Cricetulus griseus: one gene and its partner. The protein of the gene in region 1 binds, or shares a complex with, the protein of each later gene. Links are inferred from orthologs where the notes say so. Each region holds a gene or a part of one and is shown in the gene's direction. Other genes may lie near its edges. The genes, in order: Cckar and Cck.

The links.
Region 2: the proteins of Cckar (region 1) and Cck are in contact, whole or in part, in a cryo-EM structure (PDB 7MBX), measured with the Homo sapiens proteins. The link is inferred for Cricetulus griseus from reciprocal best matches to the Homo sapiens genes CCKAR and CCK. Residues at the interface, in NP_000721.1 of Homo sapiens: Cys94, Phe97, Asn98, Pro101, Asn102, Lys105, Asp106, Phe107, Thr118, Met121, Gly122, Val125, Tyr176, Phe185, Asn194, Met195, Cys196, Arg197, Phe198, His210, Leu213, Leu217, Ile329, Phe330, Ala332, Asn333, Arg336, Ala343, Glu344, Leu347; in NP_000720.1 of Homo sapiens: Asp96, Tyr97, Met98, Gly99, Trp100, Met101, Asp102, Phe103.

The regions. Positions count from the first base shown.
Region 1 is NW_023276807.1:121,968,118-121,972,589, reverse strand, and holds the start of Cckar (cholecystokinin receptor type A), read left to right. Parts: upstream 1-1,367; 5' UTR 1,368-1,638; coding exon 1,639-1,750; intron 1,751-2,477; coding exon 2,478-2,729; intron 2,730-4,472. UniProt on the Homo sapiens protein: Receptor for cholecystokinin. Mediates pancreatic growth and enzyme secretion, smooth muscle contraction of the gall bladder and stomach. Has a 1000-fold higher affinity for CCK rather than for gastrin.
Region 2 is NC_048597.1:228,506,618-228,510,907, reverse strand, and holds the start of Cck (cholecystokinin), read left to right. Parts: upstream 1-1,408; coding exon 1,409-1,622; intron 1,623-4,290. UniProt on the Homo sapiens protein: This peptide hormone induces gall bladder contraction and the release of pancreatic enzymes in the gut. Its function in the brain is not clear.

The DNA.
Region 1 (4,472 bases):
AATACTCATACTGGGTCACCTGGCCCAGCCTTAATACATGGGGAGGCGCTTAGTCTTCCTGAAACTTGATATGCTGTGTTTTATTGATACTTAAACAGAAATGGAAAAGGAGTGGATTGGGGGTGGGAGCAGAGGGGGGATGGTGGGGAGGGACTAGGAGGAGAGTGGAGAGAGGAAACCGCAGCCAGGATATAAAAATAAATACATAAATAAATTTATTTTTTAAAAAAAATAAAGCAAGAAAGAAACACAGATCCTAATATTGCCTGTTTCTTAGATGTTCAAACTAAGACCAGTGCAGTGAACAGTGAGGGGCTTTTAAGTATTGTCCAACTTCCTGAAAAAGCCAAGCCCCTAAACAGGCCTCTCACACACTAGCCATCTCCCAACATACCCTTCACTTATTCCTTCTTCTGTCCTTCAAATAGGCCAAGCCCCTTCCTGCCTCAGGCCCTTTGCACTGGTTGTGGCCTCTGCAGAAAGTATTCTGTCCCCTGTTTGGAGGCTTTCGCATTTACATCTCAGGCTTTGCACCACTAGTAACCCCCACCCCCACCAGGGAGGCCTAAATCCCTTCCCACTTTTCCCCTCTCCAACTTAACAGCATCTGAGGTGCTCTTCTTTCCTGATGGGCTTGAGAAGTACTCAGCAAATGGTTGACTCTCAGTGAACAGGTCTGGGGTGGAGAGACAAAGCAAAACAATAAAAAATAAACAAGTGAATGAGAATTCTTGCTGATTTCTATAGTAATAAGGATCTAGGAGAGCAGAAAAGGTAGGGTATTAGGTGGGGTGGGGGAGGGAGGATGGGAGGGAGAAGGACCTGGGATTAACATGTAAAATAATCTTCTTTCTAATTAAAAAAATACAAAATAAATAAATAAAATAAAATAAAGGACCTAGGAATCTGCATTCAGAAGAGTCCCCTGCTTCTGGTTAACAAGGGCAGAGACCACAAGACCGAGCACTGTGCTTGGTAACACCTTAACAACCACCCAGAAGTTCTCTCCATACACATTACTGGGCAAGGCTCCAAAGCTAAAAGGCACTAATTGCTTTTATATAAGGAGATAGGAATGCAGTCTCTCTGTGTCCCTTAGTCCCAATGGTCTGCATTATCGGATCTGTTACCATGTTAATTGATGCTGTCTCACACAGACATTTCAGGCTTCACTCTGAATATGTCTGGGACACTGACAGGCAGAGAAGAGAGGTGGTAATTGGGAAGTCTCTCTCTTTCTCTCTCTCCACCCGTGTGTGTGTGTGTGTGTGTGTGTGTGTGTGTGTGTGTGTGTGTGTGTAGATGTGGCCCCACTCTGGGAAGGGTTAATATGCAGCCAAGCTGCCTGTGCTCAGGGCCTCAGACCGGCCCAGGAATGGGAGGGGTGGGCCTGGAAGGTGGAGCAGGCTTGACTTGCACAGGCTGCTTCTCCCCACAGGAGTGCAAGTGCTTGCCCAGCTGGTCTGAGAATGGTGAACTCAAGTTGCCTTTAGGAATGGCTGCAAAGCCCACACCTGGAAATACCCCCTCCCTGCCCCTCCACGGCAGGTTGCATTTAGGAGACTCTCCGGTCATTAGAGGAACGAGTCAGGAGTGAGCCATTCACCAGCTCGCCAGCACTTGGTAGAGAGCAGCAGGATGGACGTGGTCGACAGCCTTCTCATGAATGGGAGCAACATTACTCCCCCCTGTGAACTCGGCCTGGAAAATGAGACTCTTTTCTGCCTGGATCGACCTCAGCCTTCAAAAGGTAGGTGTTAGAGGCTGTGACTGGAGTTCAGAAAACCACCCAGTTAAGGGAGATGATAGCAACAGCAAGGTTGACTAAAATGTATGTACAGTGTGTGTGTGTGTGTGTGTGTGTGTGTGTGTGTGTGTGTGTGTGTGTGTGTGTGTACAAAATCCCTGTGAGACAAAGCTAAATGAAGTTGTATGTTCAGAAGTTTGGATAAACGAGTAAGAGAAATCTACAGTCAAATATTCTTATTGTTCCCATGGGAGAGTTGGGAACTCATGAAGGATTCGGGGGAGATGACAAAAGCATAGAAGAGCTGAGGGCAGAAAGGGGTGCCAAGTGTAGAAGCCGGGACTACACACATTACTGAAAAAGCATTGTCAGGGGTAGAGGTTACCTTTTCTTAGGAGAAACCCAGCATGAAGAAGTGATTAAAGCAAAATAAAATAATGCTTAGCCTCAGGGAAAGGAAGCCGTCACCATTCAGGAGCACTGTCCTTAGGAAAAAACTGCTTTCCCCAGTGATCTGTTGACACACACCAACCTTTAAAAAAGCAATTGGATTGCCCTGTGCTTCCCTGGGCTTGTGTCTGTGTGATGCAGGCAGCACAGGGATACTCGGGTTCAGTGATGCATGCCAGCAGGGGACATCATCAGAAATGACCACTCCTTGGGGGGCTAAGGTTTTCACATTCCACCCTCCTAACCCACCTCCCTGCAACTCTTCCCCATTCCTCTGCAGAGTGGCAGCCTGCAGTGCAGATTCTCCTCTACTCCTTCATATTCCTCCTCAGTGTGCTGGGGAACACGCTGGTCATCACGGTGCTGATTCGAAACAAGAGGATGCGGACTGTCACCAACATCTTCCTGCTATCCTTGGCTGTCAGTGACCTCATGCTCTGTCTCTTCTGCATGCCATTCAACCTCATCCCCAATCTGCTCAAGGATTTCATCTTTGGAAGTGCTATGTGCAAGACCACCACCTACTTCATGGGTGAGTCGCTGCAGGTGGCTGTTGATGGGGCTCTTCTCACTCAGCCCTGTTTAGCCCCCGCTTTTGCCAGCTGCTTGACAGTCACAGCAGAGGGACCCTCCTGGGTTCCCAAATACCAAGCATCTGGCTGGCTGGGCCCATGTAGGACATGGGTGCTCTCTTTACAGCAAGTCAGCCCTTCTACTTGCAAGGGAGTGTGTGTCAGAAGTTGAGACAAAAACACAGTGGGAACTCAGTGGAGTTTCCTCTTTGAATAAGGACAAGAACTCATAGGTGACTTCAAGTCACTCCATACTTTTCTGCTGGCAGATGATTGTATGCCAATTAACCCCCAAGTTGGGACAGGGTTTCTTGGAATGGAGTAGGTGCATAGGATCAGGGCTCTTTGTTGTTGTGTTTCTTGTTCTGTGAGAAATGGAGGCTGTTTTAAACCATTCCATCTCTGTCTAGCTACTCCTTTCAGGATTCACTTCCCAGATTGTTCTCTCAAAGCCTGGGGGCATCTTAGGCCAGGGGTCTGTGGAGTGTGTGTGTGTGTGTGTGTGTGTGTGTGTGTGTGTGTGTGTGTGTGTGTGTGTGTGTTTGTGTAATAAGAAGCTGAATATGTTCCTAAGGAGCATGGATTATGAAGTAGATCCTGATTGGATGAGCCCTATAGCTCGCTGCCAAACATAATGATGGTTGTAGCAAAACCCACAAAGCTACTTTCTTAGTACTTTTTTATGCACCAGGTATTTTGCTGAGCACTTTCACTTCCATGATCTTATTTCTTGTCCACCTGGTAAATAGCTATCATCAATTCTTCCCTATCTTGCCAAGCACGTGCCAGGGGAAGCATGGGGGCTGGGGTTTGAACCTAGATTAGCAGGCACCACAGTGGTGAGTTCATGCCTCAGCTTGCCAGCTACTGAGGTTCTCCTAACCCTGGACAGAAACATGTCCCTGGTCCTCTCTGTCTGTCACACTACCTTGTCCCTTGCCCATTCTGAGAACCAACTGAGAAGAAGAAGAGGGTGAGGAGTGTGTGTGTGTTTGATTCTGACGCAAGCTGTGTTAAACAGAGAGCACTGACGAGGGCTAGGGAAATCTTCGCAGGCCAGAAAGCATTGAAAAGCCTTTCTTTTTCCCAATTGAGTGTTCAAGATCCAACAGATGACACAATGATGATGAATCGATGACTCTCATGCCCCCAGATTAGTAACTAAGGATGTCATTTGTGTTCAAGTCCCCTGAACATATTCTAAAGCCTTAAGAAAAATGGGAAGGATCTTGGTTAGATAATGAAGCATTGTTGAAAGCTTGTTAACTCCTGGGGCCCATCCATGTGCATCTGCTGGGCTTTAACATCTTAGCTAGAGTGGGGAGGAGAATTCACAGAGGTACTCACATAATCACACAGCTCTGAAGGCCGGGAAACTCTTTGCTTCAAGGTGGTCAAGTCTATGCTGTGTGAATTTCACCTCAGAACAACTTTAGTAGCCAAAATTAAACAGCAAACTAATTCTGGGATTATTTGGAATGTCATAATAGCTTACTTGGTTAAATTTACTTCTTCTTGTTATTTGGTATTGGTTTTAGGTTGGTTTGGGATTTGGGGGTGGGGAATAAGGTGGGGGTTGAGCAAGGTTCAGTATGTAGCCTTGGCTGACCTGGAAACTTAGTGTGTAGCTAGGTTGGCCTTGATCTTGAGGTGATTCTCTTGCATCTGCCTCCCAAGTGGTAGAATTACAGGCATGCCCCCAC
Region 2 (4,290 bases), on another chromosome or scaffold:
GAAGGAAGCTCTCTAGGTAAAGAGGAGATGCCATACGAGGTACCCCGCCTGGGAGGGGCTGTCCTCGTTCACTGAGCCCTTTCCCTTTTCTCCAGGGCCACTTCAATCGGTGGTCGCGCCAGTGGCCGCCTTCTGAGCAAGCGTCCTGCCGGACTGCGTCAGCACTGGGTAAACAGATGACTGGCTGCGCGCCGGGCGGGGCTATTTAAGAGGCAGCCGCCCTCCAGTCTGCCCTGAACTTGGCTGGACTGCAGCCTGCTCTGCTGGAATCCGCCAAGCCAGCTGATCCCCCGTCAAAGGTAAGTCGGTGTCTGTGCTGGCCCATCCAAGAATTACGGGTGTGAAGAATACTGGCCCGTAGCTTTGCGTCCTGGCCGTATCATCTTTCTGTTTTCTGTGCCTTCCCTCCTTTGACAGCTGGGAAGATTTCCTGAAGTCAGAAATAATGGCTCTGGATTTTAAGATGCGCCTGGGTGGGTACTGCTGCGTGGAGACTTTATTCCTCTGTGTGCTGTCTAATGGCAAGGCTGGGATAGCCATTTCTTAGGGTTCCCACGATGTTCGGATCACTTTGCAATCATTTAAAAGGGAATGCCAAGAGGTTTTAAGACACATTCATTTTCTAAATGATGCAGGAAAAAAAACTAAGGCTTTGTGGCTAGAAAGACATCGTTAGGACGGTGCAGGTCCCATCAGGTCAGTTCTAGGTCGGTTTGCAAATGTGGTGGGGCTTTGGCCACAACTCAGGACTGGGCACAGAGTTCTGGGTTTTCTTTTGCATAGTGACTTCTTGTTCGTCCCCATAGAAACACCGAGGAACCTCTATAAACACAGCTTCTATTTATGCACCCATACTTTAAACCGCTTCCCATTGTCGTCCCATTCATTTCTGTAGAGACGGCTTTTAACCTGCATTTCTCTGCATTCTGCCTCTCTGTCTCTGTCTCTGTCTCTGTCTGTCTGTCTCTCTCTGTCTCTCTCTGTCTCTCTGTCTCTCTCTGTCTCTCTCTCTCTCTCGTGTGTGTGTGTGTGTGTGTGTGTGTGTGTGTGTGTGTGTGACCCACTCACCCACTCTGTGTTTTCTGGTTAGAAGAGAGATGGGCTATAAAGGTGCCCTCTAACTTCAGGAAAGCAGGAGGCACTGCTTCTGAACCTGGAAGTAAATGGGGTCTGTGCGGGATTCCCGGGCCCTGGGTGTGGATAACACAAAAGCCAGGCAGAAGTGTCCCCAGGCGCGCGGTGGCCAGGGCGCAGCCAAGGACTGGACTTGACTAGTTCTAGGGCATGAGCCAGGCTGGCGGCCACAGCCCCGCGTTCAGCCTCGGCGGACTTCGTGTGCGGGACTTTTGGCTGCAGCCCGCCGAGCTCAGCCCTTGGTTCATGACCCTCGCCTCCGCTCCCCACAGCCATGAAGAGCAGCGTGTGTCTGTGCGTCCTGATGGCAGTCCTGGCTGCAGGCGCCCTGGCGCAGCCAGTGGCACCAGCAGAAGCCGCGGAGTCGGCGGTGCAGCGGGCAGAGGAGGCCCCCCGAAGGCAGCTGAGGGCGGTGCTCAGGACCGACGGCGAGCCCCGAGCGCGCCTGGGCGCACTGCTCGCACGATACATTCAGCAGGCACGCAAAGGTAAGGATGTCCGCTCTGCCTCACGCGGCGGCTGCTGCTGCGGTCTGGGTTCCCATTCCTGATCTCCAAAGCACCTGCAGGGAAGAGGAGGAAACCAGAGCACACGAGGAGCAAGATTCTCTCTTTCCTTCCCTGAGGTACTCTGCACCGCACTGTGGCATCAGCAGGTGGTGTTCTCAGCACCCAAGAGGGGAGATGGGTGGAGGGCTTACCGCGTGGGTAAGAGGAGCGGGCTAACCCTTCTCGGAACTGACTTCGGCACTGTATTAGGGTTGAAGTCCAACACCGCTTTAGGAAAACACACACACACACACACACACACACACACACACACACACACACACACACACACACACACACACACAAAGTGCTGGTAAGAGTCTCCAGATCCGCCCTCTCCTCTGTGCTGTATATACAGCAGGACTGGGGACCACCCAGACACTGACCCTCGGGACCCCTCTGGCGTGAAATAGGTCAGTGCTGAGAAAACCTGAGACTTGAGACACGTAGCTGGCACTGTGTACATGTCCCCCTGTATGGCGCAGGAGGTAAGGGTCAAAGAGCAGCTGGAGTTCCCTTGACTGCCCAGTCAGGATGGCCACAGAGTGAAAGCTGTGTCTTACGTTTCTATAGCTGTCAGAAAGGTGGCCACCATGCTGACCACCTCAGGGATCTTCTCAATATTGGAAGCCGCCCCCCCCCCACGATCCCCGTGGGCTATTCAGCAGCTTGCCAGTTGAGGGTTCCTCTCCTGTACCCAAATCTCTCATCTTCAGAGAGGCGATGGGGACAGCGCAGACCAGATCCTCTCCCAGCTCGGGAGTCATGGCTGCCACCAAGACAGCTTTCATCTGACTTTATCAGCAGGGACATGGATGGTGACTTCTGGCTGGGGTGTGTTAAACTGGACCAGTAGAGTGAGATTTAACTTTCGAAGGTGGGCCCTTTGTTCTGTGGAGCTCATTTACTCAACGTGTCCTGTCTGATTTGAACAGCCCAGGGCATTGGGCTTGACTAGTGAGGGGGAACTGGGGAACTTGGTTGAGTTTCCTAGAGTCCCCCATGAAGATGCGACCAGGGGACTTCAGGGGAATCAAGAGATTTCTTATGTTTCTTCCTGTTTGGGAACTCACCCCACAGCCATCCCTTTCTAGGTTGTTTTCCTGCTAATTCAATGGAGGGAGGGAGAGATGAGAGAGAGAGAGAGAGAGAGAGAGAGAGAGAGAGAGAGAGAGAGAGAGAGAGAGAGAGAGAGAAATGCATACATACACACATACAGACACATACATACATACATACATACATACATACATACATACATACATGCACACACACACATACACACATACACACCAGGTAATAAGAAAACCTGGGAACGTGGGATGCCCCCTCCCCATTCCTTCTGATGTGGGCCAGCAGACCCTTCTGAAGTATTTTAGACTTTTCTAGACTCTTCAGTGAGCTGTCAGTCTATAGAACCTTTGGCCTGAGTTTGGGAATGCCCGAGCAGTTCTAGCAACAGAAAGCCTGGTTGCTGAATTATTGCCTAGAACCAACACATGACAGTGGTTTTCCCAGCAGCTGGAAGCCACTCCGAGCTCTCTTCTCAGACCCTGTCTCCCCTCAGCCTGTTGGACCCACTGAGCCCAGAAAGGAGTAGCCTTCATTTGAAAGTTGGTTTGCTCACACCCAGGGTCAGGGCTAAGTATAGAAGAGTGATGCCCACTTTTTGACAAAATATAAACTCAGGATCAATATTGTCAATACTGCACAATTTCTCTGAATATTTTATAAATGATTTTTTATTCAACTATAATACATACTATTCTTAAAGACTCTAGACGAGATACTTTTTTGAGTGATTGGGGCTTGGCTTTAGCTGGTAGACTGGCCTAGAATGCACAAAATCCTGAGTTCAACTCTCACACCACATGACACCCAGCCTGTAATCCTAGCATCGGGAGGTGGGGGTGGGTGGACCAGTTCAAAGCTAGCCTCTGCTGTGCAGCAAGTTTGAGGCCAGCTTGGGCTATGTAAGATCTCATATTTAAAAACAAAAAGTAAAATATGAAATAAAACCAAGCTTATCTTTAGAGCTTGTCTGCAGAGCCCTCAGTGGTCCCAGAGGAAGCCTATTCATTCCTGTGGAAGGTGGGGAGGCACTGGTGGTCCAGAGGGAAGTGTGTTCCCGTGGGAGGTGGGGAGGCATTGGTGGTCCAGGGGGAAGTGTGTTCCCGTGGGAGGTGGGGAGGCATCAATGGCACTAGCATCCAATGCTCTCTCCATGCATCTCTCTCAAGCCTTAAAACCTTTCTTCACATGAGCATCTATCTCACTGTCTTTCACTTATGAAGCCTGTGCTAAAGAAGGCAAATGCCATCTGTGCACACATTGGTGCATCTAGGAGGCAGCAGGAGTCTATACAGGTTTGACTTACGCCGCGGCCTGGAGGCCATACGGTTCCCAGCTCACCTGCTGCAGGAGTCAGATCACTTTGTCTCAGACCACTCTAAGCCCCTTCGCTGTGTAGTGCTGGCGATGGATGGAGGGTGATAACAACATGCCTGAGGACAGATCTGTGTAGGATGTGAGAGCCAAGGCATGTTCCAAACACAGCTCCCATGAGAGTAAAGTGCCCAGCCACTGACCGGACAGCTGGCTCGATAGA